Linked DNA regions of Tamandua tetradactyla. The protein of the gene in region 1 interacts with the protein of each later gene in a biochemical or structural test. Links are inferred from orthologs where the notes say so. Each region holds a gene or a part of one and is shown in the gene's direction. Other genes may lie near its edges. The genes, in order: RAD51AP1, DMC1 and RAD51.

Evidence for each region.
Region 2: the proteins of RAD51AP1 (region 1) and DMC1 form a complex in vitro, tested with the Homo sapiens proteins (2 studies listed by BioGRID and IntAct). The link is inferred for Tamandua tetradactyla from reciprocal best matches to the Homo sapiens genes RAD51AP1 and DMC1.
Region 3: the proteins of RAD51AP1 (region 1) and RAD51 form a complex in vitro, tested with the Homo sapiens proteins (6 studies listed by BioGRID and IntAct). The link is inferred for Tamandua tetradactyla from reciprocal best matches to the Homo sapiens genes RAD51AP1 and RAD51.

Annotation. Positions count from the first base shown.
Region 1 is NC_135333.1:66,778,970-66,789,294, forward strand, and holds the start of RAD51AP1 (RAD51-associated protein 1), read left to right. Parts: upstream 1-5,124; 5' UTR 5,125-5,274; coding exon 5,275-5,291; intron 5,292-10,325. UniProt on the Homo sapiens protein: Structure-specific DNA-binding protein involved in DNA repair by promoting RAD51-mediated homologous recombination.
Region 2 is NC_135333.1:30,911,461-30,922,059, reverse strand, and holds the start of DMC1 (meiotic recombination protein DMC1/LIM15 homolog), read left to right. Parts: upstream 1-5,358; 5' UTR 5,359-5,506; intron 5,507-6,938; exon of another isoform or gene 6,939-6,963; 5' UTR 6,964-6,971; coding exon 6,972-7,022; intron 7,023-7,593; coding exon 7,594-7,638; intron 7,639-8,560; coding exon 8,561-8,707; intron 8,708-10,599. UniProt on the Homo sapiens protein: Participates in meiotic recombination, specifically in homologous strand assimilation, which is required for the resolution of meiotic double-strand breaks.
Region 3 is NC_135340.1:53,974,336-53,985,106, forward strand, and holds the start of RAD51 (DNA repair protein RAD51 homolog 1), read left to right. Parts: upstream 1-6,536; 5' UTR 6,537-6,804; exon of another isoform or gene 6,805-7,430; intron 7,431-9,916; 5' UTR 9,917-9,936; coding exon 9,937-10,023; intron 10,024-10,771.

The DNA of each region.
Region 1 (10,325 bases):
AATGAGACAAGGATACCCATTGTTACCACTATTATTCAACACTGTACTAGAAATCCTAGCTAAAGCAATTAGACAGGAGAAAGAAATAAAATGCATTCAAAGAGGAAAGGAAGAAGCAAAAATTTTTATTTGCAGATGACATGATCCTATACTTAGAGAACCCTGAGAAATTTATGAGAAAGCTATCTGAGCTAATAAACAAATTCAGAAAAGTGGTGGAATATAAGATTAATGTATAAAAATCAGTAAAATTCCAAACACAAGTAATGACCTATCTGAGGAAACAATTAAGGAAAAAATTCCATTGAAAATAGCTATCTAAAGAATCAGGTATAAAGGAATACGTCCAACCAGGGATGTCAAGACTTGTACATAGAGAACTACAAAACATTGCTAAAAGAAATTAAAAATGACCTAAATAGATAGAAAGGCATTGCATTCTCATGGATAGGAAGGTTGACTGTTGTTAAGATGTCAATTCTACACAAAATGAGCTACAGATTCAATGCAAAATCAATCAAAATCCCAATAACCTATTTTGAAGATTTGGAAAAGCTAGTTCTCAAATTAATTGTAAGGTAAAGAGACCCTGAATAGCTAAAGATATCCTTAAAAAAGAAGAGCGAAGTAGTAGGCTTTAAAGATTACTATAAAACCACAGTGGTCAAAACAGCATGATGCTAGCACAAAGATAGTATTGACCAATGGAACTGAATTGAGAGTACAGGGACAGACCACCAAAATATGGACAACTGATCTTCGATAAGGTTCCCAAATCCACTGAACTGGGACAGAACATGGGTACTGAAAAACAGATAGAAGTGACAGTAACTAATTTGTGGCATTATAAGTAACTTTGCTATATTGAAGGTGAATATGATTAAAAGGGAATGTATAGTGCCCATATATCCCACTGAGTAAATCTACAATTATAAGTAAGTTCTCGCATGAACTATTTCAAAGATTTGACATTGAACAAAGAGTTAATAGTAAAGAGGTACAGAGGGAAAACTAAAAATGCATGATATGGTCAATAGTTAACAAGAAGACATCAACAGTACCACAGCACTACCAGGGACAACTAATTGCAGGGGAGGTACAATTGATAAGGGGTAGTTTTGATTTCGATATTTGGTGACGCTGTGTGTCAGTTCTTTGTCGCTGAAGATAAATGAAACTTGTCCAAAATTGAGAATGCTGTTGATTGTACAACCCAGGGAGGATACCATAAGACATAGTTTGTTTATTTTGGGCATTATCTATGACGCCCATTATGGAAGGGAACTAAAGGATACAATGACTGAGAAGAATGGCAAACTGTGATACATGTATAGGAAAGAATATGGTGTGGCTACAAAAAAGGACACCAACAGGCATGCAACGAACTGAATAAACCTTGGAGATAATGTGGTACAAAATAAGCCAGAAACAAAAGAACAAATATGCTAAGGTCTCTTTCAGAAAATACTTATAAGAAAAATGGAGCCTAGTTTGTAAGCCCTTATAGCAGCCACACTTAGTTTGAAGTTGTAAGTATATTCCTAGATTCTGAGACACTGAGCTATATGTGTATCAGACAGTATTTCCCTGGAACTCTAAGTAACTGTGATACGTAAGACACAAAAATGTGAGTGCTGAGCCCTGAAAGTTAGCACAGCTATGTACTATAACAATTAAAGTAACCAAAAAAGAGATCAGGTCTCAATTAGAGATAAAAACAAAGCCAATCTGGCTGGGGCTAAGGTAAATCAGAATACAGAGTAAAAGATGATAGTTTTTGTACTCTAGACTTTCACTTACTGTATAAGACCAAAGGCAGAGAGGTTTATTATGTCTAGAATCTAAATTTTGTGTAGCACACAATCGAAATCAACCTGTTTGTACCGCTCATTTAAACAAGCCAAATTCCTGGAGTCCTGGACGGAAACAAGGCCTATAATTCTGTATAGCTTAATGTAATATCAGGATACATCTCAGGACTATGGTTGGCTGATAATTAAAAAGTATTGGTTGAGAGTGTGAAGGAAAAAAAACCAAAACATGGAACTATTAAAAACTTTCCCAGCTGGGAAACTCCAGGTACCCTCTCAAACACTGGGGACTCCCAAGAAAACAGGCCAAGCCCTTGATTTTGAGGATTGTCCTTGTGAAATTCATTTCTGTAGCAGAGAAGCTAAGAATATTTATAATGAGGCCTAAGAGTTGCTTCCAGGAAACCTCTTTGGTTGCTCAGATGTGGCCTCTCTCTCTCTTTTTCTAGGCCCAACTCTGTAAGGAGGATCATCACCCTTCCCAATATGTGGGAGGTGATATTCAGGGGTGTGAAAATCTCCCTGACAATGTGGGGTACGACTCCAAGGAATGAGATTGGCCCTGGCACCATGAATAGACAACTGCCTTCCTGACCAAACGGAGGAAAAGAAATGTAATAAAATAAGGTATCAGTGGCTAAGAGAGATCAAAAAGAGTCAAGAGGCTATTCTGGAGGCTACTCTTATGCAAGCTTCAGTTAGATGGTGCTAGTTGCCATGGTTTGCTAAACCCCAATCAAAGTCACTCCTGTTAACTCTTAAGAACACCTAGGCTCGAACTCCAACTCTATAAAAGTTCCATGCACTGTTTGTTTTCTTGGAACCTATAATTTCAAGAGGGTTGCTAGGCCAGTAAGTCCTGAAACCCAGAGGGACCAACCTCTCCAAGAGTATCAATTAATTACATTCTGTGCTGGTTTGAAAGGAAGTATGCCCCCTAAAAAACCATGTTTTAATCAAAATCCCATTTCATAAAAGCAGAATAATCCCTATGCAATACTGTATGTTTGAAACTGTAATCAGATCATCTCCCTGGATGATGAGATTTAGTCAAGAGTGGTTGTTTAACTGGATTAGGTGACGACATGTCAAGACCATTTGGGTAGGTCTTGATTGGTTTACTGGAGTCCTGTAAAAGAGGAAACATTTTGGAGAATGGGAGATTCAGAGAGAGCAGAACGACATAGCCACAAGAAGCAGAGTCCACCAGCCAGCGACCTTTGAAGACGAAGAAGGAAAATGCCTCCTGGGGAGCTTCATGAAACAAGAAGCCAAGAGAAGCTAGCAGATGACGCCATGCTCACCATGTGCCCTTCCAGATGAGAGAGGAACCCTGACTGTGTTCACCATGTGCCTTCTCACTTGAGAAAGAAACCCTGAACTTCATCGGCCTTCTTGAACCAAGGTATCTTTCCCTGGATGCCTTTGACTGGACATTTCTATTGACTTGTTTTAATTGGACATTTTCTAGGACTTAGAACTGTAAACTAGCGACTACTAAATTCCCCTTTTAAAAAGTCATTCTGATTCTGGTATGTTGCATTCCAGCAGCTAGCAAATTAGAACACATCCCCTTATCCTTTAGTGTTGAACCCCTTAACATGAAAAAGTCAGAATGGGCATTGCCTAAAGATCCCTATAGATGGGAGAAGGATCAAAGGAGAAGGGGGTATAACACAGGAAACAGGATTTAACAAACAAGCATGATTGCTGAATCAGTATATTAATATTCCTTCTAGTTTCCAGTGTTTTGCAGCTGTTGGGGTGGAAGGGCAGCAGGGAGAGGAACTGAAATGGCGGAATGGTGGCCCATAATAGGCTCTGAAATCTCTTCCACAGCTGCATGTTACAGAAGGTGTTCTGTCACTGAAGGTATTAGGGAGTTCTTTGAAAATTATTGCTTTCTTTTCTTTGTAGGTATGCTATATTTCACGATTAAAAAACTTTTTTTTTAAAGAGACATTCACACTCACTTTATATTAAACAGCCTAACAGGTTTCCTTACCCCCAGCAAACCAACCATTCCCAACTCTCCAGAATTTAGACTGCCTTCATTAAAACTCCTGAGTGTTTACCACTGCCTCCTCCCCAAACTTCCCAGCATGGCATACAAGGGTGTCCATGATTTGATCCGCAGTTACATCCCCAGCTTCATCTGTACCATGTCCTCACTAGGCAGTGAGAATCCTAAGAACAAGAGTTGTGTCTTAACAAAAGTTGAACCACTGCATACAGAGTTGACTTTAGGCAAATATTTGTTGAAGGCAGTCAATGCAGTGATAAGAGAACGAATCTTTCATTTATCAGTAAAATGGCCCGAACTCTGACTCTGCCATTTACTTGCTGCCAGAGCAACTGTCATTCGGGGATAATGCATTTAACTTGCAGGACTGTCATAAGGATTGATAAAATAATATGAAGTACCTGGTAAACATGAAATGATCAATATAGAAACTAGTAATAATATAATTAGCTATTGGGGTGGGGTGGGGGAGCCTATAGGCCAATAGCTGTGTGCACATGACCAAGGCAGAAGCAGTAAAGGAATACTGTGGTAGAAAATTGAAAGTTATAAAAATATGGTGTTATGGTATAATTTTGTTCAAACGCAACACTTTCGGTAAGCAAAAACCATTAGCTCTAGTTTCGATCGGTTGGACATTAAATTTTATTGCAGTCCAACAAAGTGATACCTTTCCGCTTTTTTTTTTTTTACTATCTAAAGCCTCGCCTCAGTTTTAGCAGGGATGATAACAAGATAGGCTTCCCGTAAAAAAAAAAAATGTTGTGGGAGGAAGGCCGCACCTAGTTTATACAGTTAATTTAGTAGAGGTTCCGAGGGTAAAATTCGTCTGCGAAAAGGAAGGCGGGCTGCGGGGCCGAGAAACTCCAGCCAACGGAGCCCATTTAGGGGTTTTCAGACTGAAGGGCCTCGTTCTTTAGTCTCACCTTGTCTAGTCCCGAAGTCTTCAGCGATCGGCACACTCCGAGTGGTCCACGAGCCTCGGCACTAGGGATATCAGCTGTTTTACCTACTCGTTGTTACATCCAGCAGTTCCGTCGGCAGATTCCCCCACACCACCTCCTCGTCCCTGGTACTGGATGGAAAACCCATAGATCTAAGCACCACTTATTTCTTCTTGCTTCAATTAGGAAGGTGCATTTCTACTGTTATTGCGTATTTCAGAGACGGCGCAAAAGTCACTGTCATCACGAAAGTGCAAGGGCAAAGCGCAAACTCCGCTGGGGTTGACCGGATACGGAAGTGCAGTTGTCTTGGGAAGGGCCTGAACAAATGAGATTTTCTCAGGGCGCATGCGCTTTCGCAAAACTAGGGAAATGATTGGAGGACTGACTGTCAGTGGGCGGAGAGCTTCGTTCTTCGGTTTTAGGCGGGAGTTGAAACCGCCAGTGCTTCCTAGGAGAACTTGAGACCTGCAGATTTGCATCCTTGGAACGGACCATGGTGCGGCCTGTGCGGTAGGTAGTTAATGACATTCGACGGAGTTGGGGAGGAAGGGAAGGAAGATGCAGTGGGCAACTTAGCTTACACAGGAGTGAAGGGAGAGCTCGGTAGGATGGAGGGTGGGGATGGTGGGAGTTATATGGTTAGGGGAAAAGGCCTTATCAGGAAGAAACTCTCCAGGTTCCCGTCAGAGCCACGCATTCCTCAGAAATATCCTAGCATCATAGTCTTCTTCTCTCTCACTCTTTGCCGACCCCGCAAAAGACCTTGTTATGTTAAAATTTGAACAATACCTACTTAAGTGTTATTTCAGTTGTTCATCACTAGTTTTCTTTAACGTAGAAAGGTTAATTATCCCTATTTCATCGATTAAAAACTCCCAGGCAGAAAGGCAAAGATAAGTGAGTTGCAGGAGAATATTCAAATCTATGTCATCTGACTCCATATCCTCAGTGGTTTTCATTATACTATTTGCACCTATTCCCTACTTAATCACATTTGAGTGCCATGGAGGCTTAACGTCAACCATTCATTCAGAAAAGCTATTGAACATATTAACTTCTGTCCTATAGGAGGTGCTGGGGGGTTGCATTCCAGTGGGGGGTGGGTGAATAGGGAGCAGAAAATAAACATCACAGTGTGATAGTGGAAAAGATGGAAGCCCTATTCTAAATAGAATAGTTAAGCCAAGGCTCTCTGAGGAGATAACCCTTGAGTTGAGATATGAATAATGAGACAGAGCTAGACAGGTGAAAATCTGGGACAATCCAGGTAGAGGGAACAGCAACTATTAAGGCTTTAAGCGTGAGCATGTTCAAGGAACAAAATGAAGGCCACTAACACTGTAGAATAGTGAGCAGTGGGGAGAGTTGTAACGGATGAGGTCAGAGAAATAGGCAGTGTCCAGACCAGGTGGGGCCTTGCAGACCTTAGAAAGGATTTTATTTCTACAGAGGGATGCCAATGAAAGATTTTAAATAGGGGAGAAAAATCTAATTTTGGTTTTATAAAGGTCACTGGCTGCCAGTGGAGAATGAATGGGTGGATGGCATGACTAGAATGGGAGCAGAGCAGCCTGTTGGAAGGCTATGATGTCATTTTGGTGGCTTAGATTAGGGGGTGTTAAAAGTAGACATGGGATGGAATAGATGAATTTGGGATATATTTTGGAGGTACTGCTGATGACTTGCTGAAGTGAATTTCTTGATAAGGACAAAGAATCAAAGATGACTCCACAAGAATTTTGGCCTGAGCTGCTATGTAAATTTTTTTTTTTTTTAATATGGGCAGGCTCTGTAGATTTTTTTATTAATTGAAATGGAGGCGACTAGGAAATGGAACATGCTGAGGAGGTGTGGGGGACCAAGAGTTCTGTTTCAAACACATGTTTGAAATGTGTTTTAAGCATGCAAGTAAAGAAGATATAATCCTTTTATTTGAAAAGCATTTTTAAAAGTTCTACAGACCACTAAGGGTCCTTGAGATTCTTTCAGAGGGTCTGTGGGATCAAAACTATTTTTCATAATAATACAAATTCAAATAAAATATCTTATTTTCAAATAAGATATTTGCTTTTTCACTGTTTTGTCATTTGCACTGCAATGATGGGTAAAACTTCTGGTGCCTTAGCATGAATCAAGTCAGTGACACCAAACTTTACTAGTAGTCATTGCATTCTTTCCTGCCACACGGAGTGAAAAAAAAGAAAATGCCGGTTTCACTTAAAGATGTGCTTCCTTTGGAGGAATGGTGAGAAAGGGGGTAAATTCAACCTCCCCAAGTGGAGAATTCTTGATATTCTCACAAGCAGTGGGAACAACCAAAACAATAGGCTGAGCCCCCAATCTGGGGTTTGTTCATATGAAACTTAACCCCACAAAGGATAGGCTAAGCCTACATAAAATTAGGCCTAAGAGTCACCTCCAAGAGAACCTCTTTTGTTGCTCATATGTGGCCTCTCTCTCTCTCGGCCAACATAACAAGCAAACTCACTGCCCTCCTCCTCTCTATGTGGGACATTACTCCCAGGAGTGTGGATCTTCCTGGCAACATGGGACAGAAATCTTAGAATGAGCTGGGACTCAACATCAGAATTGAGAAAACCTTCTCGACCAAAAGGGGGAAGAGCGAAATGAGACAAAATAAAGCGTCAGTGGCTGAGAGATTCCAAACAGAGTCGAGGAGGTTATCCTGGAGGTTATTCTTATGCATTAAATAGATATCACCTTTTTAGTTAAGGTATAATGGAGAGGCTGGAGGGAACTGCCTGAGAATGTAGAGGTATGTTCTGATAGCCATGTTTCTTGAAAATGAGTGCATAATGATATAGCTTTTGCAATGTGATTGTATGATCGTGAAAACGATCTGATGCTTCTTTTATCTACCTTATTGACAGACGAGTAAAGCATATGGATTAAAAATAAATAAATAATAAGGGGAACAAATGTTAAAATAAATTTAGTAGATTGAAATGCTACTGATCAATGAAAGGGAGGGGTAAGGGGTATGGTATGTATGAATTTTTTTCCTGTTTTCTTTTTATTTCTTTTTCTGAATTGATGCAAATGTTTTAATTTGATGCAAATGTTTTAAGAAATGATCATGATGATGAATATACAACTATGTGATGATGTTGTGAGTTATTGATTATATATCAAGAATGGAATGAACATATGGTAAGAATGGTTGTGTTTTTATGTGATTATATTTAATAAATATATATATGAAAAAAAGAATATTCCTGATGAAACAGTAAGAATTATATTTATTGTAGCTCAACCCTTGGATGTATTTTTTTTAAATGAAGACTTCTGATTTTATTTTATCGTTGTTCAATGTTAATACTTCTCAAGGGGTTTCCATGTTTTATTCAGCTCTCAAATCTGAACTCTGAAGAGTAGGAGAGTAACAACAAGAATACACTTCTTTTTAATATTCTCTGTGAGGAAATGGAAAGTATGCATAAAGCACTTCTACATACCAAAGTACAATAGTTATCTCTAGGAAAAGCACTTGTGTGAATGTGTAAATTACAAGCTGAAATAGCTGCCTTGTTATACCATTTTTACTTGAAAGAACAACTAACTGACAAGCTAGGAGCTATTCACACTTGGAATATGGTGGACATTCTGGAAAAGGAACTTATTGAACCTGTCACTTCAAAGAAAATAACTGACAGCATTTGTTTCCAGTGATAAAATTTGTGCTGACTAGCAAAAATTAGAAGTTTTTTGGAAAACTTGTGTGTGGCACTGTAAACTTGATGGCTTCCCAATATTCAAAGACTTTTGGGATGAATTTGATGGTGATATTAACAAATGTGATTTTTGATATTGTGTAGTAAAGTATATAGATATTTGGAAGACCTGCATAACTCAGTGAACCAGTATTTTCCAGATTGCCAACAAATGATGTAACAAAATCATGCATCAGTAAAATATCCATTTGAAGTGCATGATAAACCAAGGGATATTAATGTATCAGAATAAGAAGAGTTCATCGAAACCCTTTCATATTCCACATTGCAACTGTTAAGAAGCTAGACTTGTCTATTTCCTTGGTTTAATTGTGTTCCTCTTGGTAAATTGGGGATATTAAGTTCACTAGGTTTTTTCAAATAAATCACAAGACTTCAATTCAAAACAAACCAATGCATTTCTCAGCACCCTAGCAACTTTTCTTACTCTAAGTCTGTGAGAAAAACTTGTTGCTTCTTGTACTGGTTTAAAATTATGTATGTACCCTAGAAAAGCCATATTTTAATCCTAATCCCATTTTGTAAAGGCAGCTGTTTCTTCTAACCCCTATTCAGCATTGTATGCTTGAAACTAATACATCATCTCCTTGGAGATGTGATTTAATCAAGAGTGGTTGTTAAGCTGGATTAGGTGGAGGCATGCCTTGGGTGGGTCTTGATTAGTTTCTGGAACTTGCTGTGCTGAAGGCAAGAAACATTTTGGAGAAAGCTGGAGAGATTCAGAGAGAGCAGAGTCTACCAGCCAGCAACTTTGGACATGAAGAAGGAGAACACCTCCTGGGGAGCTTCATGAAACAGGAAGCCAGGAGAGAAAGCTAGCAGATGATGCCATGTTCGCCATGTGCCTTCTTACTTGAGAAAGAGACCCTGAACTTCACTGGCTTTTGAAGCAAGGTATCTTTCCCTGGATACCTTAGATTGGACATTTCTATAGGCTTGTTTTAATTGGGACATTTTCTTGGCCTGAGAACTGTAAACTAGCAACTTATTAAATTCTCCTTTTTAAAAGTCATTCCATATCTGGTATATTGCATTCTCTCAGCTAGCAAACTAGAACACTTCTTTCTAGTTTGACAAATGTCAAAACATTTGTATAGAACTTCTAGCTCCTGATGTCTCTGAAAACATTCCTTGTATCCTAATTCAAGCAATTTGCCGTTATTTAAGACCTAACTATCTAACCGCTTAGCCCTTAAACCTAATTTCTTTAATTTGTGTTTGGTCATTATTACATTTCAGGTTATGGTCATTTATTTCTGAGAGAAAGCAAAACTTTCTGATGTCAATTAGTATTCATTCACTCTAAATTCTAGCAAGGAAGAACATGACTGATAATCCCCCCGACACACTGATTTATCTATTCTCTTGAACAGGGGCCGGCAAACTACAATTCACAGACCAAACCCAGGTGTATAGCCCAGGATCTATGCATGGTTTTTGCATTTTTAAATGTTGAAAAGAAATAAAAAGATTTTGTGACGTGAAAATTATATGAAATTCAAATGACAGTCTATAAAAGTTTTATTGGAAAACAGCCCCGTTGTTTACATGTTATCCTTGGCTGCTGCCCAGCCTGCAGTGGCAGAGTACAGTGGTTGTGAATAAGGCTTTATGACTCTCAAAGCCTAGAGCATTTACTGTCTGGCCCTTTACAGAAGAAGTTTACCAACTCTTGCTTGTAAGGAAGTTTGGATAAAACTGCAAATTTAGGGCACTGTTTGCTTCTTGGTATTCTTTTTTTCTGAATACTCATCATCTTTGGTCTTGATGGGCTGGGTTATTGCTTCATCCC
Region 2 (10,599 bases), about 36 Mb from region 1:
GGTCAAGCAATAGAAGAAATTCAAACATATTAAAGTTAATATTGCTGTTTGAATTGTTTGATGGAAGTTAATTAGTTGTAAATGGGACAAATTTATTTAAGGGCGTTGGTCTGTTGAATTTGAGTTGGTGAAACATTGATCAAATAATTGAAAGCAATTATTAAAATGTATTAGATCTATAAGTAAAACATTATTATTGAAGGTTTAAGGCAAAGTGAATTTTAAAATGTATTACTTTAATAAATTAAACATTGATTTTTTAAAAAACCGTCTAGCATACAAGCATAACGTTTCCTTTAGTTACCATGATGTATCAACAAAGCCTGATTACCTTTCAGCTTTAAATGATAGTGAGATAAATAAAATTATAGTATCACAAAATTAAAAGTATAGCGCAAAAGGACCGGATACAAAAAACTCAGAAATGGACAGCACAATACTACCTAACTGTAATACAATTTTGTTAAAACACTGAATGAAGCTGCATGTGAGAATGATAGAGGGAGGAGGGCTGGGAACATAAATGAAATCAGAAAGAAAGATAGATGTTAAAGATCGAGATGGTATAATCTAGGAATGCCTAGAGTGTATAATAATAGTGAAATGTACAATGTACAAATTTTTAAAATGTTTTTGCATGAGGAAGAACAAAGGAATGTCATTATTGCAGGGTGCTGAAAATAGATGATAATTAATACTTTAAAATGTCACCTTATGTGTGAGACTAAAGCAAAAAATGTTTGTTACAAAATTTATATTTTGACTAGAGCATTTTCTAATATAACTCATGTAGATAGTTTGATTGAACGTCATAAGTACTTGGAATCTCAGGTAGGACATGAGATTTTGTTGGTTTGTCCAGAGTGATGCCCCGATGAATCCCAGAGTGATTTGATCAGTGACTGGAAAAGTATTTGCAAGCCCCTTTCGGGGAATGGTGAGAGCAGGGAGAAATTCAAATTCCCCAAGTTGAATTCTTGATATTCTCACAAGCAGTGTGGACAACCAAAGCTATAGGCTGAGCCCCCAGTCTTGGGGTTTGTTCATATGAAACTTAACCCCACAAAGGATAGGTCAAGTCTACTTAAAATTTAGGCCTAAGAGTCACCCCCAAGAGAGCCTCTTCTGTTGCTCAGATGTGGCCTCTCTCTCCAGCCAACATGACCAGCAGTCTCACCACCCTCCCCCTCTCTGCGTGGGACATAACTCCCAGGGGAGTTGCCTTCCTGGCAACGTGGGACAGAGATCCTGGAATGAGCTGAGACTCAGCATCAAGGGACTGAGAAAAACCCTAGAATGAGCTGAGAATTAACAGCAGGGGATTGAGAGAAACTTCTCGACCAAAGGGGGAAGAGTGAAATGAGACTAAGTGTCAATGGCTGAGAGATTCCAAATAGAGTCGAGAGGTTATCCTGGAGGTTATTCTTATGCATTAAGTAGATATCACCCTGTTGTTCAAGATGTAGTGGAGAGGCTGGAGGGAACTGCCTGAAAATGTAGAGCTGTGTTCCAGTAGCCATGTTTCTTGATGATGATTGAACAATGATAAAGCTTTCACAATGAGACTCTGTGAATGTGAAAACCTTGTGTCTGATGCTCCTTTTAACTACCATATCAACAGAAGAGTAGAACATATGGAATAAAAATAAATAATAGGGGGAACAAATGTTAAATTTAGTTTGAAATGTTAGTAGTAAATGAAAGCGAGGGGTAAGGGGTATGGTATGTATAATCTTTTTTTCTCTATTATCATTTTATTTCTTTTTCTATTGTCTTTTTATTTCTTTTTCTAAATCGATGCAAATGTTCTAAGAAATGATGAATATGCAACTATGTGATGATATTAAGAATTACTGATTGTATATGTAGAATGGAATGATATCTTAATGTTTTGTTTGTTAATTTTTTTAATTAATAAAAAAGTTTTAAAAAAAAAGAAAATTAGTAACTAGTTAAAGTGTTTCCACCCATCGTGGTGCCATCCTTTATTAAAAATACAGTTTTAACCTGCAAAAAAAAAAAAAAAAAGTATAGCTCAAAGATAGGGGACCATGGTCTGCCTCACGTCAATCTCTCCACTCGTGTCGTGTAAAAAGAGCTGTAGATCCTTACTGAAGGGACTGTGTCTAGAAATGCCAGGCAGCAGAGAAACGGGAAATGATCCAGAGGCATAACTAGGTGCTGTGGAGTTGGGCACCCAGTGCTAAGAAGCTACTTCCCAGTGGACATCTCAAGGATGTAAAAGAAATTTCCCACTTTTCCAAAACATACTAGAAGCAGCTAATTCTTGGTAATGATGGTAGTTGTTTTGGGGGTTAACTTGATATATATTCTGACTGGATCAGAGAACAGACTGTTACACTCACAGAGCATCTTAGCACCTGTTCCCCATGCTCTAGTTCCCCACAGAGTGACACAAAGGGCCAGATATCACCTGTGAGTGCAGTGGGGTTTAAACCACAGGAGAGGAACACCAAAATTATGAGACTTGAAGTTGTGCAGGGCATTACACTTTACTGCTCCTCCTTCCCTCTGGAGATAGACAGAAAAATGTCAGTACTGCCTAAAACTTCTCTAGGAGAGAAGCCAAAAGTCCCTAGGTTTTACAACTCTGAAACATAAGCAAATGAGAGGAAAGATGTCTCTAAGTTTTATTACCTTCAGAGTGAGCGCAAATGGCTTCAGGGAAGAAAAATCTCTAAATCTCTCTCCAGAACAATGCACCCATCTCTAATTTCCAAGGCCTATTTGCCATTCAATCATAAAGTCCATACCATGCAGAAAAGTGAAAACATTCATGGGGAATTGTCTCTCAATAGGAGAGAGGCAGATCTAAGGTTAAACTACGACAGTAGCACTTACTGTAACTATTTATATATTCATTTATAGCCCCCACTAGGGTTTGTATATTGTTTTATGTTGAATCCCTACCGCCCAACACCTTGCCTGACAAATAGTAAAGATTCAATACATATTTTTGAATGAACTAAATACGTTTAAATGAAAATGTGCCCATGGAATTCTTTTTGTGATAACCCTTCATTCTTTAATTCTCTGCTAAAGCATTTCTCAAATTGAAGCTCTTAAGCCTCCAAGTATATCCATCCACAGGCACCAATTTTCACAAACTCTCAGGAATCAGGTGTCTCTATTTGGTTATAAGGTAGTTGTCCACAGAGGGGCAGTAAAGTATAATTGTTCAGGTCCTGACTGTAATCCCATTGCCTGTTTATTTTTATTTTTAAGAATATCAAATGATAACACGAAAGCTTTGTCCTCTGTTCTGGTTTCTAGAGAACTTGGGCTAAGGTATGTTTATTACAGATTTTTTTTTCCAATTAAAAAATTGGATTGTAAAAAAAAAGAATATCATAAAAATGACACAAAATTTCAAAATTTTACAGAGAAATTGTAGACACCCTGAAGGATTTATGAAATTGGGCAAGCTTTATTACCCTGTTGGCTAATAACAGGACAAAAGCTCTGGCTTGCTATGCTTTATATCTAGGATAGGAAAGTGGCATTTTGCCATGAAGGATTTTTTTTAATGCAGCCATATTGATCAGTCTTTTTGGCAGTCCTTTGTGTCATACTCTTAAACCCTTTTCTTATTCTGAGATTTTAAAAAAATCTCCCATATTTTCTTTTAGCACTTTTATTACTTTATCGTACAGATCTAATTTTTTAATCCATCTGGAGTTTATTTTGATATAAGGTATGGTACGTAGTTATTCCAACACAATTCATTGAACTCATCATTTCCTCACTATCTTGAAAGGCCAACTTCATACTCAGATTTCTGTATGATTTGAAAGTCTCGCTTTTTTTTGTTGTACTGTCTTAAGTGGAAAGGTCTTTATGCGCAATTTTTAACTACCCCAGAGTTTTGAGCTTTTGTTCTAATCATTTTAAAGTTGTATATAACTATCAATATGATATCCAAACAAGATTTTTGTCTTCACATCATGAATTTGTTATTGTCAACCACATTTCTGTTTCTTTCTTTACGTGTACTGCACACAACCTTCAAATATTATGACCATCTCTCTCCCAGCTGTCACTACACCAAACTACATATGTTATATTTCCCTAAATCATCTTGCTGTGCTCTTTGCAGCTTTTCTGTATACTGCTGATGTCTTCATGTAACAAGATGCTCAGAAGTTACTATAATTATTTTAGGTGACTCTCAGAGTGAAAACCTGTCATCACTACCCAGTTCATCCCCAGAATGGGTACTCATTTCCATTTAACAAGAAGGACAGGCTATGTTTCTGGAAAATAACAGAATTTGAAGAGCTATCCTGGTTATTTATTGGCTCTTTAGACAATCCACCTGGGGGGGGGGGGGATGTCCTACAAAACACCAACTGCTATTGTGGGAAGGTTTTGCTATTTATTCCAGTAAAATGATTCAGACATCAAAGAAAAAGTGTCGCCCTGTACTGGGTCTTGAACCCAAAGAACTGTTTGCACTGATATTCATCCAAGATACATCACAGCCTCCACCTCAACAGATGCTCTTTCAAATGTTTCACGACTCTGCTCAACAACAGTCTCCATTTAAGGATGACGCTGCCAGAGATGGCTCTGCTGGCGTGAAGGCTGGTCTAAGACTTCTGTTTAAAAGCTGGACCAAAATATGTTTGGTTTCTCTTGTCTATTTAAAACTTCGAGTTCAGATGAAGAAAAATTACTCTCCATCCGAAGAGTGTCTCAATCACAGACGAGCGAGTGGTAAATGTAACAGAGTTATAGAGAAGAGCGAGTAGGAGATTAGGGACAGTGAAGTCTTAGGGACAGGCTGTGAAGCCAGGCATGAAAAACGTGGGCCGGATTCCTCGACCTCCTAACCCAAGGGTTCCGATTAAACCAGCATTCTGCTCCTCACTGCCCTCCGCCACGTCAGCCTTCTCCCCACAGTCCCCTCCCTCAGCCTCAAGGGCTTCCACTTCCGTGACCCCCTCCCTCGAATCAGCCACTCCCCCAACGGCCTCTCCTCAGCTCGGAACAGCCCCACCTTAGGGCGCTCTTGCCTCCAGCAGCCTCTCTTCAGCGACCGCCCCAGTACTCCCTAATTTCTCTTCTCAGCACTCCCACCTCAGAGTCCTTTCCCTGACTTCAACATTTCCCTCACCCCAGGGGACGCCCCAGCCTCTCCTCAGCACACTTCCTCAATCCCAGCGCCCCTCCCTCACCCCAGCACGCCACCCCCAGGAGGCTCCGCCGAGCTCTAGGTTCCCTGGGACCCCACCCGCTCCCTCGCTCTCCGCCCCGCCCCTTGGGCTCCGCCCCCCGCGAGCTCCGCCCCCCCGCGAGCCCCGCCCCGCCGCGAGCCCCGCCCCCGCCCCGCCCAGGCGGTCGTCGTTTGGCGCCAAACTCTGGTCGGTGACGCGCTAGTGGCCTCAGGCGTTCGGTGTTGGAACCAGAATCTGAGAAGCTGAGGACTGGAAAGCCCGGCCGGGGGCGGAAGGGATTCACCTTGAGAACCTCAGGGAGAGTGTTGGTATGAGGACGTGGGGAGATGGCAGAAAGAAAGCGTGGGCGAAACCTGAGGGGATGGTCAAGCGGAGTTCGCTTTCTCGCCCCTTTCTTTGATGATACTCGGTGGTCGTTGCTGGGGCCTGGGCTAGTGGCTTACCCCACCCCCGAAGGCTTCTCAGTGGCCTAGGGGGATTTCCGGCATTCAAATCAAATCAGACCGAAGTCTTGATGACGCCCCCACGGCCTTCTTTCTTATGAGGCAATCGGGTGTCAGGGAAGTGTCTGGCAGCGGCGCTGGCTGTCGGGGTCCCAGGTCCGCGGACGCCCCATGCGACCAGGCCTCCTGCTGAGGGGGGCCTCGCGGTGACCTGCCAACACCCCCCCACACACACGCGCGATAAGGGACAGCTCCGGTCCCCTTAAATCGAGGCGGCAGGCCATGGTGTAAAACCCAGATGACTGGGAGTCCAGAAGATGGACTTTTCAACCCATCAATTGAACAATCTTTTCCTTTTATCAGGGAGGAAGAAATGGATTTTTTTTCTTTAATTCAGTGCGGAGAGCGGATGTGGAATTGTGGGTAATCATAAATATAACTGTCTGAAGGACAGTGTTCCAGGAGAGCCCATTTAAACTGTCTCCACATTTGCCTCCTATACCTACCTGTTTAGAAGTAATAAGTAGTAAGAACCTTACTTCTACATTAGTAGTTGTTCCCAGTTCTACTGGGCTCCAACCCCTAGCTTTGCTATTCAGTGAAGAGATGGAAAGGGAATACAGTCATACCTAGTAGACCAGGAGTTTAAAATAATTTTTTAAAAACAATTTTAAACAACTGTTACAGTGTTAAATAAAAAACTATTTAATTGTTTGTTGGCCCTAATGTTATTATATTGAGTATCTGCTATATTTTTAATCTTAAAAAATATCATGAAACTAGTAAATGCAAAGATGCATGTTACAAGAGAGACCATTCCTAATCAGCAAGTAGGAAGTCATCATATATGAGAAAATAAAATCTATTTACTGAGAATAGACTATAGTCTAGGTGCCAGGGAGGATGCAAGGAAGAATAAAAGTCAAGGTTCTTACAGCGTTGTTTTACATAAACATAAAAGGTTAAATAGCAATACGCAATTTTAAATAACATTCCAAGGCAATAAAGATATTATCAGAAAGTTATGATTAACTGTGCTATACAAAATAAATATGATTAAAAGTGAGCAGTGGGGAAGAAAGAGAGAAGAAATCAAACAATCCTCCCCACCACACCAACAAACTAAACAATACCAAAAAAGAAGATAGACATCCCATTCTTTGCAAACTAAATGCTTTTCTTATTGTCCTTCTTGTCCTTAATGACTTTGAAATGAAATCAAGGAGGCTTCTGGGCAAAGGATCATGTACTGTATGAAGTATAACTACTTTTTAAATAATACTTCTTAATTTCCCAGAATTGATTTTTTTTCTGCTACCCAGCTTTCAATATGAAGGAGGATCAAGTTGTGCTGGAAGAGCCAGGATTCCAAGATGAAGAGGTATGAATAGAATGTTGAAAGATATGTAGCCATGCAATCATTCCACAAAAATTAAGTTCCTTCTCTGTTAGCTACTTAAAGAAATTGCGAGACTAGAAATAAGGCAGTTCTATAGAGAGGCAATATTAAAACTATGTAAGTTGTTACAACTTATACAGCAAATGGTTTATCAACTGGACAGGAAAGCATTTTAATACAGCTTGTATGGCCAGACTGGTATCTATGTATGCTAGTATCAAATAGCAGCCTGATTGTAGAGGAAAGAGTTCAAAGTCTAGTGGAGAAGAGGGTTGAGAAACAGGTTTAATGCTTTCCATTTCTTTGGGTAAAGGCCTTAAAATTGGGGGGGAGGCCGTGACAGAGGTTAGGTTTCCTAGCCATTTCAAACTTGGCACTTCTAAGTATGTAACAGTGTGTTAGAAAAACATTAGTAATCCTTTCTCCATCTGTCTAGAAAGGTGGAATTTGAGGTATTTTGGAGTAACTCATAATACTGAATTAACTTTTTCAAAGATGTGAAACAGTTGGCCATGAAGAGTCAGAACTCAATTATTTTTTCCATTTCCTTTAGGAATCTTTGTTTCAAGACATTGACCTATTACAAAAACATGGAATTGTAAGTATTTTTCAGTGCTGTGTTAAATTGTCCAATTCAGTATGTTTCAGCCTCGGCCTTATTGACATCTGGGGCTGGATAATTCTTTGTCTTGGGAATCTGTCCTATGCATTGTATCGTGTTTGTCAGCATCCCTGGCCTCTCTCCACTCACTACATTTCCAGTAGCATCTTTCCAGCTGTAACAACCAAAAATGTCTCCAGACATTGTCAGATGTCTCCAGGGGATAAAATTGCCCCAATTTGAGAACCACTCGTCCAACTGGAGGTGTTCAGTCCATGTCATTTCTTCCTACATCTACTGTCTTCATTAACAGAAAATTCACTTCTATATTTCAGATGATCAGAGTAAATGATGTTGGTAAAAATCCACACTGAGTGACAAACTAGATGAATTTCAACAATAATCAATTGCTCTCTGACATCTTTTGAAGTTTTCACATTTAATCTCTTTCAGTTGGTTTTAGAAAATAGAAACAAGAGAAATCCTGGTCCCTACGTGATGTAGTTATTTACATTCTCCAAGGGCAGAGGAAAAAATCTTTTAAATAAATTAAAAATGAACATATTGGTAATGAAGTTCTGTAGAAGGAAAGAGTTGAACTGAGGGGGTGAACGCGTGAGAAGTTTGTTCGTTTTTCCACTAACAGACTTTTCTTTTAAATTCCTTGTTACATTGCCATGGTCTCACTAACATTCTTGGGAAATCAGGGCACAGCCAGAACATTTGGCAGCCTGCTGGGTATGTTCTACACAGATATTTCCAGAACATTTGGCTACATTGTGGGTGGGTTCCACCTGGCTGCTTGTATAAAATTGGCATCATGGTAGAAAGAAATGGACACAAAAGCACATGACATAGGGTGAGAGGCTTTCAGACTGGCATTTTATCAATCTGCTATGCCCATTCTTTTATTTTACAGAATGTGGCTGACATTAAGAAACTGAAGTCAGTGGGAATCTGTACCATCAAAGGGATACAGATGACAACAAGAAGAGCCCTATGCAATGTCAAAGGGCTCTCAGAAGCAAAAGTGGACAAAATTAAAGAAGCAGCCAACAAACTTATTGTAAGTAAAATCCATTCTTTGCTCATTTAGCTTAAAAAAGTCTTGTGTGTTTTTGTAGCCTTTTTTCATTATGAACACCAGAAACTACTGTGGAAACTCAGAGTTCCTGTAAATCACAATATTATACTCTACATGTTAGCATTTAACACTTCAATTTCAAAGCAATGGCAATTTATTTCTGAAAGATTGAGGTAGGGGTTAAGCTGGAACACTAATGAAGATGTTCTAGTTTTCTAAGTGCCAGAATGTAATATACCAGAAACATAATGGCTTTTAAAAAGGGAAATTAAATAAATTGCAAGTTAACAGTTTTTACGCTGTGGAAATGTCCCAATTAAAGTGAGTCTATAGAAATGTCCAATCTAAGGCATCCAGGGAAAGATACCTTGATACAGGAAGGCCCATGAAGTTCAGGGTTTCTCTCTCAACTGGGAGGCACATGGCAAACGTGGTCAGGGTTTCTCTCTCAGCTGTAAGGGCACATGGCGAACATGACTCTCCAAAATGTTTCCTGTTTCATAGGATTCCGGTAAGCTAATCAAGACCCACCTGAATGTGTGGAGACAAGTCTCCACCTAATCCAGCTTAAGATCCACTCTTGTTTGAGCCACATCTCCAGGGAGAGGATCTAATTACAATTTCAAACATACAATACTGAATAGGGATTAAAAGAAACATCTGCTTTTACAAAATGGGATTAGGATTAAAACATGGCTTTTCTAGGGCACATAAATCATTTCAAACCAGCACAGAAGGTAATTCCTTCTTACCCAAACTTTTCTCCCCTTCTGTTTGTTTACCTTTCATTCTCCTTTTCTTCTTCTTCTTTTTTTTTTAAATCTTCCTTCTACTTATTTTTGTCTTATCTCCTCAAAAACTACATCTCTGGTTGTTGCAAAACATGCAATACCAAAGAAGTTGTTCTCTTCTGGTATAGGTCAATTGATAATAGAGGATGGGGTTGGAAAAAGACTTCAGTAACAGTCACTGGGTCTGCATCTGTGCAGTAGAATTAGATATGACCAAGAATATACTCTCTGAGATAGCTGATCTAAGTAACTTATGCCTTACAAGTGGGCCCACAGACTATGTAGGGCCCATGCAGCTAAGAGGCTGCATTTGTCTTTGACCTAAACTTTCTTGTAGAGCTTTTGGGTACCATAGGAGGCAGCCAGATCTGGAAATAAAAATGTAAAGAAAGGTAGTCACTTTCTTTTAAAGTCTCCTTCTTTAAAGAAGAGCAGACTTTCCATTTCTGTTTGTGTGTGGGGGCGTCTTGTTCCCAAGGAGTTCTAAAATCTCTTCACTGATTCCCTTCACCAGAGGCAGTCAAAACAGGGGAGTAATGCCAGTGACTGCGGTTTTGGTAGTTAGATTCAGTTGTCAACTTGGCCAGGTGAAGGCACCTAGTTCTGTTGCTGTGGACATAAACCAATGGTACGAGAACCTCATCTGTTGCTGATTACATCTGCAGTCAGCTGGGAGGCGTGCCTGCTGCAATGAATGACGTTTAACTTAATTGGCTGGTGCTTAAATAAGAGACGCAACGTAGCACAGCCCAAGCAGCTTGGCATACCTCATCTCAGCGCTTGCAGCTCAGCCCAGGCCTTTGGAGATGCAGAAAGGAATCACCCCGGGGGGGGAAAGTTGTTGGAGCCCAGAGGCCTGCAGAGAAGGCCGGCAAAGATTACCCTGAGCCTTCCCACGTAAGAAAGAACCTCAGATGAAAGTTAGCTGCCTTTCCTCTGAAGAACTAACGAAATAAATCCCCTTTTATTAAAAGCCAATCCACCTCTGGTGTGTTGCATTCCGGCAGCTAGAAAACTAGAACAGCGGTCCTCAGCTTGGAGAGGATCCAGTAAAACTACCCAGAACCCAGCTAACTGCTCCAG
Region 3 (10,771 bases), on another chromosome or scaffold:
AATTGTGAAGCTTATGTAGGTAGCAGAGAAGCTTAGACTACCTATAGGCATGCCTGAGTTACTTCTGGAGGACCTCTTTTGTTGCTCAGATGTGGCCTCAGTCTCTCTAAGCCCAACTCTGCAAGTAGAAATCATTGCCCTCCCCTCTACGTGGGACATGACATCCAGTGGTAAAAGTCTCCCTGGTGATGTGGGAGATGACTCCCAGGGATGAATCTAGACCTGGCACCGTGGGATCAACAATTACATCCTGACCATATGGGGGAAAAAAGTGTAATTAATAAAGTGTCAGTGGCAAAGAGAGTTCAAATAGAGTCGAGAGGTTACTCTGGAGGTTGCTCTTCCACAAGCTTCGGTTAGATCTTGCTACCTATCATAATCTGCCAACCCCAACCAGGACCATTCCAGCCAATCCTAAAGAACACCTCGGGCAATATATAAGATTCCACAAGAGTTCCAGGCACTAGAGTAATGTTCCAGAAATCTACAACCTCCAGATGGGTCCCTGGTCCAGATAAGTCCTGAAATTTAGCCCAGCCTCTCCAGAACATCAGACAGTTTCATATCCCTATCCCATATTAGTGACAGTCCCTTCCAATATGAAAAGTTTAGAATTGCCATAGCCCAAACACCCTTAAACAGAGGGATGGAAAGATCAAAGTTGATGATGGAGTTATATAGAGAAAATAGGATTTAATAAATGAATATGAATGCTGAATCATTAAATTGATATCTCTTTTAGTCTCCAGTTTTTAGAGCAGCTAGAACCAAAAACCTAAAATTGTGAAATTGTAACCCATGTCAAACTCTGAAATATGTTCTACAACTAACTGCGGTGCTGTGCTTTGAAAGTTATAGCTTTTTTGTATATATGTTATTTTTCACAAAAAAAGAAGGAAAAAAAGTCAATTATGATGATGAAAATATTTACGCACTCTAGCCTCCCATATTTTAGAGCAACTAGAAGGAAAAATATGAGAGGATCATATGGTAGCACATGAAAAACTCTGGGATCTGTCCTGTAACTACTTGTTGAAGAGTGCTTTGAAAACTATTGCATTTTTTATTTCTTTGCTTTGTATATATGTTATACCATACAATAAAAAAAGTTTAAAAATATACTAGAGACACACAACATCAGATTTGAAGAGGCAGAAGAAAGAATAAGCAAGCAGAGGACAGGACAACTGAATTCACACAAAGAACAAATGGCGAAAAAGATGGACATCTTTGAATTGGATCTTAGGAAAATGATGGATAACAAAAAGCATAGAAATATAAGAATCACTAGTGTCCCAGAAGAAGAGAAGAATAAAGGGCTATGAAGATTATTTAAGGAGATAATTAGAGAAAACTTTCCAACCCTTATAAAAGACATAAATATGCTAATCAAAGAAGCCCAAATCCAAATAGGCCCACTTGGAGACACATACTAATCAACTGTCAGATGCTGAAAAGAAGCAGAAAGTCCCAAAAGCAGCAAGAGAAAAGTGATTCACTGCATACAAGGGAAGCCACATAAAGCTCAGTTTGGACTATTTGACAGGCACCGTGGAGGCAAGAAGGCAGTGGTATGATACATTCAAGATTCTGAAAGAGAAAAATTTCCAGTGAAGTATTCTTTATCCATCAAAGTTGTCCTTCAAAAGTGAGGGAGAAGAGAGCCCTGCGCAGCGGAGCCCCCACCACTGCTGGCCTAGTTACCATCTTGCCCCAGAGGAGCCAGAGCTGCCACAGCCGGCCCTCCTCACCAACGCCGCAACCATGAGACCCCAGCTGCGACCACCCCCGCCCTCAGTGCTGTTGACACCAAGCTCAGTGCCACAGGCAGTGGCACAGGAAGCAGCATCCCAAGCGGCCTCACATTGGCGGCACCTGCCTACAGGGACAAGATCATTGCCTGGAAAGTTTTGGGAACAGCAGAATGGTTTGATGCAAGAAATGGATATGCTTTCATCAACAGGAATGATACTAAGGAAGATGTGCTTGTACACCAGACTGCCATAAGAAGAAGTACCTTCACAGCGTAAGAGACAGACTGTGGAGTTTGATGTTGATGAAGGAGAAAAGGGGGCAGGGGTAGCAAACATCACAGGTCCTGGTGGAGTTCCAGAGCAAGACAGTAAATATGCAGCAGACTGTAACCATTATACACATTTTCCATGTTGTAGGGGCCCTCCATGCAATTTACCAGCAAAATTACCAGAATAGTGAGAATGGGGAAAATAACGAGGGATCAGGGAGTGCTCCCAAAGGCCAGGGCCAACAACACTGGCCCTACTGTAGGCGACAATTCCCACCTTACTACATGCAGAGACCCTGTGGGTGTCATCCACAGTTTTCAACCCTCCTGTGCAAGGAGAAGTGATGGAGGGTACTGACAACCAGGGTGCAGGAGAACAATGTAGACCAGTGAGGCAGAATATGTATCTGGGTTACAGACCAGGATTCCGCAGGGGCCCTCCTTGCCAAAAACAGCCTGGAGAGGACAGCAATGAAAATGGTAAAGAAAATCAAGGAAATGAGACCCAAGGTCAGCAGCCACCTCAACATTGGCACCGTGGTAACTTCAGTTACTGATGCAGCACTCAGAAAATCCTAAACCACTAGATGGCAAAGAGACAAAAGTAGCCAATCTACCAACTGAGGATTCTTCTGCTCCCAAGGCTGAGCAGGGTGGATCTGAGTAAATGCTAGCTTACCATCTCTATCATCATCTGCTTCAGTCATACAACAAGAAGTGAATATGAAATTCCAGCAATAAGAAATGAACAAAGGATTGGAGCTGAAGACCTTAAGTGCTTGATTTTTGCCAGTCGACCAGATAACTAGAACTACCTGCATTATCTATGCAGCATAGGGTTTTTTTTTTTTAATGGCACATTAACTATGAACTGGGTTGGGTGATGGGATGTAAGGAAACAATTATTCATTAATACATCAAATACTTCCTTATTGTTTACTAAGTTAGGCCCTGAATTATGCACTGACAATACAGTGGTGAAGAAGAAAAACAGCCATAAAACCCTAGAAGACCACATAGAGAGAATATGTAAATTTAGGTGAGAAGAAGATCCAATTTAATTTAATTTAATTTGTAATAAAAGTTTATAACTTAATTTTTTCAAAAAAGTCAACAAATTGCAAGTATCTGTTAATAAAGGCCTTAAATAACAATTAAAAATAGTGAGAGAGAGACTAAAATTTTCACAGACAGATAAATGCTAAGAGAATTTGCTAATAAGAAATCGGCCCTGCAAAAATACTAAAAGGAGTACTGTCAGCTGAAAAACAAAGATAGGAGAAGGAGGTCTGGAGAAGGGCACAGAACTGAAGAGTACTACTAAGGGTAACTTAAAGGATAAAAACAGAGAGAGGAAAAATATATAGATCTGACAAATAAAAACCAAAGGAGAAGATGGAAGATTTAAGAACTGCTTTTACAGTAATAACTTTCAACGTCAACGGACTAAACTCATCAATTAAAAGATACAGATAGGCAGAATGGATTTAAAAATATGATCCATCTATATGCTGTTTATAAGATATTCATCTTAGACCCAAAGATACAAATAGATGCCAAGTGAAAGGATGGAAAAGATATTTCATGCAAGCTGTAACCAAAAGAAAGCAGGGGTAGCTATAGTAATATCAGAAAAAATAGACTTTAAATGCAAAGATATCATAAGAGACAAGAAAGGACACTACATATTAATAAAGCAGAGAATTAATTCACCAAGAAGAAATAACAATCATAAATGCTTATGCACCCAATAAAGGAGCTCCAAAGTACATGAGTCAAATACTGGCGAAACTAAAGGGAGCAAAAGACCTTTCAATAACAATAGTGGGAAACATCAATACACCACTCTCCTCTATAGAAGAAAAACCAGACAGAGAATCATAAGGAAATAGAGAACCTAAACAATGTGATAAATGAATTAGACCTAACAGACATATATAGATCGTTGCAGATGAAGGCAAAAGTCATCCAAAATCTAGACCCAACAATCGAACCTACACTGCCCTCTAAGTGGTCAGGTGAGAGGGAGAGTTAGTTGCATGTCTCTTTCTTTAAATCAAAAGCTAGAAATGATTAAGCTTAACGAAGAAGCTAAGACAGGCTGAAAGCTCTAGACCCCTTGCACCAGTTAGCCAAATTATGAATGCAAAGGAAAATTCTTGAAGGATATTAAAAGTGCTACTGCCAGGAACACATCAAAGATAAGAAAATAAAACAGTCTTATTACTAATACGGAGAAAGTTCTAGTGATCTGGATAGAAGTTCAAACCAGCCACAACATCCCCTTAAGCCAAAACATACTCCAGAGCAAGGCCCTAACTCTGTTCAAGTCTCTGAAGGCTTGAGAGAGTTGAAGAAACTACAGTAGAAAAGTTTGAAGATAGAGTTTGGTTCATGAGGTTTAAGTAAAGAAGCTGTCTGAGTAACATAATAATACAGGGTGGAGCAGCAAGTCCTGATGTAGAAGCTGCAGCAAGTTATCCAGAAGATATAGCTAAGATTATTGATAAAAGGGGCTACACAAAAAAACAGATTTTCAATGCAGGTGAAACAGCCTTCTATTGAACGAATATGCCATCTAGGACTTTCATAGCTAGAGAGGAGAAATCAATACCTGGCTTCACAGCTTGAAAGGACAAACAGACTCTCTTGTTAGGGGCTAATGCAGCTGGTGACTTTAAGTTGAAGCTGTCGCTCATTTATCAATCTGAAAATACTGACCCTTAAAAGTTATGCTAAATTTACTCTGCCTGTGGTTTCTAAATGAAACAACAAAGCCTGGATGACAGCCTATCTGTTTACAACATGGTTTACTGAATATATATATATATTTTTTTAGTATATCTTGATACAGTAATTATATTGTGAACTTTTTTATTTTATTAGTATGACACCATTATTATTATTATTTTTTACATGGGCAGGCACCGGGAATCGAACCCAGGTCCTCAGGCATGGCAGGCAAGCATTCTTACCTGCTGAGCCACCGTGACCCACCCTGAATATTTTAACCCCACTGTTGACACCTACTGCTCAGAAAAAAAGATTCCTTTCAAAATATGACTGCTCATTGGCAACACACCTGGTCAGGAGCCCTGATGGAGATGTAGAGTGAGATTAATGTTTTAATGCCTGCTAATACAACATCCATTCTGCAAAGCATGGATCAGGGAGTAATTTTTACTTTCTAGTTTTGTTATTTAAGAAATACATTTCGTAAAGCTATAGCTGGTATAGAGAGGGATTTCTTTGATGGATCTGGATGAAGTCAATTGAAAACCTTCTGGAATGTATTCAGCATCGAAGATGCCATTAAGAACACTCATAACTCATGGAAGGATGTCAAAATATCAACCTTAACAGGAGTTTGGTAGGTGATTCCAACCCTCATGGACAACTTTTAGGGTTTCCAGACTTCAGTGGAGGAAGTCACTGTAGATGTGGTTGAAAAAGCAAGAGAACTAGAATTAGAAGTGGAGCTTGAAGATGGGACAGAATTGTTGCAATCTCATGATTAAATTTAAACGGATGAGGCTTGTTTAGTATGGATGAGCAAAGAGTTTTTGAGAATGGAATCTCCTCTTGGTGAAGATGCTGTTAAATAGTGTTGAAATGACAAGAATATTACATTAAACTAGTTAATAATGCAGCAGCAGCTTTTGAAAAGAGTGAGTCCAATTCTGAAAGAAGCTCTATTGCGGTCAAAATGCTATCAAACAGAATTGTATGCTATAGAGAGATACGAAAGGAAGAGTCAATGGATGTAGCAACTTTATTGTTGTCTTATGTTAAGAAATTGTCACAGTCACCCCCAACCTTGAGCAATCACCACCCTGATCAGACAGCCGCCACCAATATCCAAGTGAGAAGCTTCACCAGCAAAAACATTACAACCTCCTGGAAGCGCAGATGATTAGCAGTTTTCAGAAATAAAACCTTTTTATTTCTTCTAAAATTTATTAAATTTTAATAAAAATTTAAAACATTTTAAGATTAAGGTATGTACAATTTTTTTTTAAACACAATGCTATTGTTCATTTAATAGACTACAGTATAATGTAAATACCTTTTATATACACTGGGAAACCAAAAACTTTGTGTGGTTCACTTTATTGCAATATTTGCTTTATTGTGATATTTGCTTTATGGCGGTTGTACAGAACCGAACTACCAGTGTCTCCGAGATAGCCTGCAGTATTTCTATTTCTTTCTCCACTTCTGGAGAGCTAGCTCTCAGCTCAATTTCCTAGTTTCATTCATCTCCTATGGTTTCTCCAGTTTCACCACTTCCAGGGACCTGGAAAACAACTTGCTCTGGGAAATTGACTGACTCAGGTCTGGCGAAATGCCAAAAGCCCAGGTTCAGACACCGCAGAAACAAAGTAAAAAAAAACCGTCCCCTGAACCAGATTATCCACCACAGGGACGAGGGTGGGGGCTGCGGCAACCGCGGTACCTGCTGGGAGATATAGTTCCGGGTGACCCCACTACCTCTTGGGAGTTGTAGTCCTCGATCTGGGAGAGAGACGAGAACAGCAGTTCAGAAAATTTTAAATAATCCTTAGAGTAAAACAAAGGGAGCAAGCCTATAATACCATGCTGGTTCTCTGGACCCATCCCTCGGGCTCGCATGCAGTGTCCAAAGCGGCTCCGGGGGGATTGGAGAAGGGCGGGGACACGTTACGCTGACGCAGGCGTGACCCTGCCCGAGAGGGTTTGGCGGGATTTCCGAAAGCCGCCGAGCAGAGTGCGAGCTGAGGCCCAGACCCAGGCCTGAGGAAAGCTGAGGCGCGCTCCGGCAAGCGTAGTTGGGAGCTGAGCCTCGCTTGGATTGTGCGCAGACAGCCTGGGCAGGGGAGTAAGGAAGCGGGGCACTAGCGAGGAGGCCGGAGCTGGCCGGGGTCGGGCCCGCGCAGGGCCAGCGGACAGAGGTCAGAGCGCGCGGCTGGCGAGCGAGGGGCGCTGCAGGCAGAGGTGAGTGTGGAGGCGCAGATCCGGCCCCTTTCCGCGGCTCGTCCCCGCGTTGGCCGGAATGGGACCTGGGCCTTTGCTCTCCCGCCGCTTATCCTCTGTGCTGAGAAACTGGAGATGGCGGAGCAGGGGCGGGTTCCAGGCCCAACCGCCTTTCAGAGCTCGTTGTGAAGACAACCGGAACTGGGAGGAACCTTAGACACCTTCAAGCCTAACACCCGTTCTGTGGGCGAGGAAGTCGAGACCTAAGGAGGTGTAGTGACTTAGTTAAAGTCACAACTTTTTAATGCCACAGCCATGATTTCCGGATTCCTGGTCATTTCTCTTGACGCCACACCGTGTTTTGCTTACAAAGTGCCAATCTTCATTTGCCAAGAAATATTTTCATAATCTAATGTGGAAGGCTGGTCACGTGGTGGCCTGGGAATGCTGGGAAGTGAGTTTTCCCCCCTTAAATTTACCAAGTATAGTGTAATGTATGTAGAGGGAAAAATGCACACATCACGACTGTATGCATTTGTGTATTCAAAATAAATATACTTGTGTAATCACCACTCAGGTCGAGAAATAAAACGCTGTCAGCACCCCAGAAGCCTTCCTTGCACAACCTTTTCCAATACTTGCCCCTCTTTTCCTCAGAGGTAACCACTGACTTATAATACCATTGATTAATTTTGTCTGTATTTGAATATTGTGTAAATGAAATAATACTTTATGGATTATCTTGTGACTGACTTCATGAAACATTATGTCTGTAGATTCATAAAGAATAGTATTCCATATCCATTCTATTCTTCTTAGTTTCAGTTTTTGGATTTTATGAGAAAGGCTGCTGTGAACATTCCTATATATATTTTGGTGTGCATGTGCATGCTTTTCAGGTGGTTAATACACAGAATGGTGCAATTCCTGAGTCAAAGTATTTGTCTGTTTTGAACTTTCACATTTAATGCTAGTTTTCCAAAATGGTCAAAATAGTATACATGCACACAGCCCTGTAGGAGTCACTCAACTTGCCAGCACTTGATATTGTCGGTCATTTTAATTTTAGCTATTCTAGTGGGTATGTAGTATTGTCTCATTGTGGTTTTAATTTAAATTTCCCTGATTATTAATGAGGTTGGGCATCGGTTCATATATTTGTTGGCCATCTGGATATTTTCTCTTGTGAAGTGCTTGTTTAAATCTTACTCATTTTTCTTTGCGTTGTCTGTCTTTTTCTTAATTGATTTGAAAGAGTTCTTTGTCTATTCTGTTTGTCAGCCATTGATTATATATGTGGCAGAATTTCCCCCCTGAGTATATTCTCTTAATACTGTCTTTTGGTGAATAGAAGTTCTGAATATTATGTCCAATTTTTATCTTTTCCATTGTTTTATGATTGTTGCATTTTGTATACAGTATAAGCAATCCTTTCTACCCCAAGGGCAAGAACATAGTCTCCTATATTAAAAGTTTTGCTTTACCTTTTACATTTAGATTTACCATCTAAATTGGAAATTAATATTTTTCTATAATGTGTGATATTTTAGCAAAGTTCATTTTATCATTCCATCTCTATTTACTGAAAAGACCATCCTTTCATCATTAATCTGCAGTGCCATTGTTTTCATAAATTACAAAGAAAGGTATTTGAATTTAAATTGCATCCAGATGATTTGGATAAATTGAATTATTCTAAACTCACAGTATGCTAAATCGCCATGGAAGAGATCCATCCCCAAACCAATGGACACAAATGGTCATCTTATCTTTTCTCAAGTCTCCAGGAATGGAAATTTTGTATCTTTTATGTTTGTTCATTGTTTATGTATCTCTTATCTTTTAGATTACATTTGTCCAAAACTTTTTTTTTTGTGTGCTGTATGGCTGGGTCACATTTCATTCTTTTTTCCATGTGAGTATCCCGTTATTGCAGCACCATTTGTTGAATATTTGTTTGTTTGCTTGTTTTGGGAAGTACATGGGCCAGGAATCAAACCCCGGTCTATTACATGGCTGGTAGGAATTCTACCACTGAACTACCTGTGCACTCCCTTTGTCCAGACTCTTTTGATGTTATTTAAGATGACGTATTCTTGTGGACATCAAGACTCGTTCATTTTTACAATTTGAAACTACTTCTTTCCAAGGCGAGCAATCATAATTCTATAGGCCTTAGGCTAAATGGAAGGGTTTACACTGAATGGGTCACTTGCATGTTTTTCATTTTCTCATTCACTGAGGTGTCTAAAGTTCTGTAATTGAATAAAATGGTGATCCTTGAGTTTCACACTCTCCTATTGACAGCAACAAGTGTGTGATTAAGCTATGATCTTTGCTTAAGTTTCCCTTTCAGGAACGGAGGCTTATGGGCAGCCATTCTGTATCTTCATTTCACTCCTGCCTCCCTTCTTCCCTTCCTCCCTTGCTCCACCCCGCCAACCCCCAGAATTCCTCTTGCTAGAAGGAAACAAGGGAACGAAAGCTGTTAAACCTTTCCTAGGTTGAGAGTTGTTTTTTTTAAAGTAGAGTACTGGAATGTCCGGATTCTTCTAACAAACATTTATCAAACACTTAGCATAATGTATCATGAAGTGTATAAAAATAAATAAGACTTTGCTCCTACCCTCAAGGAGTATAAAGATAATATAAGAAATTTAAGATAGGGATATAGAGGGGAATAGTTAATCTAGTGAAGCTGTGCATCTTTAAGAAGCCAAGTGATCCTGGCTCTTCCTGAAGCTTTTATGTTACAACTCTATCTAAATAGAGGGGAATGCTGGTGAAAGGTTTGTTCTTTTTCCTGCCATGGTTAGGTCAGTGATTAGACTAAACGCCTAACAAGTAATTTTTCAGAGATTTATTGTAAAACTGAATTTGCAACTCCATACTTAAGCCACAGTGTTTCTCTAATATTTTTGATGGCCATCTGTATTTTTCAGTATTGAACACCCCGAGTAATGGCTATGCAGATGCAGCTTGAAGCAAATGCAGATACTTCAGTGGAAGAAGAAAGCTTTGGCCCACAACCTATTTCACGATTAGAGGTAAATGCTAAGTTGTTAAGTTTTGGATTATAATGTTAAACAAGATTCTTCTACCTGCTGGGAGAAATAACAGCCTTTACATAAATCATTCATTTCCATCCAAGATCAAAACTCAAATGAGAATTTTCGTGAGAGTTTTCAAGGATTTTGTGGGAAGGGTTAATATAGGAGCTAAACATGTCTGGCCAGGGCTCTTTTGTCTATAATTCTCCTACGTTATCATTTTTCTTTCTCAGAGTTGGGCTGTCAGATGCTAAAAAGCTTTAGAATCCCCTGGTAGAGTCTCTGTGCCGTTTGCACTTAAGTATATACGTGCTGTCCAGAGAATTCCAGTGGCTTGTGCGCAGCCATGCAGGGAGAAAGGAGCAACTTCTCTATATCACTGAGATTTGTGCTGGAGTTACTAGCAAGGCAGCTGTCACAGGCAGAAAGAAGGACTTGGGGATATAAAGGGAAAAGAGCCAAGCTCCAATGCAAGACTGCCCAAAAGCATTAAGCGCCAGAGCTGGGGTCCTGTGCTGTTTTTGTCCATTGTACAGTGGTACAGTATTAGTGCAGCTAACTTGTACTAAAGAAGTTGGGGAGAAAGGAGAGAAAGTTTTGATTCTGATTGCTTTATTATGCATGTTTCCCTTATCCCAGCTAAGCTTCAAGACCCCAGAAGTTAAGTAAATGGGTAAATGTGGTAAAACATCAGAGATGGTTTTTTTTTGTGGGGGTAGGGGTCTGCATTTTTGGTTAATAGTCA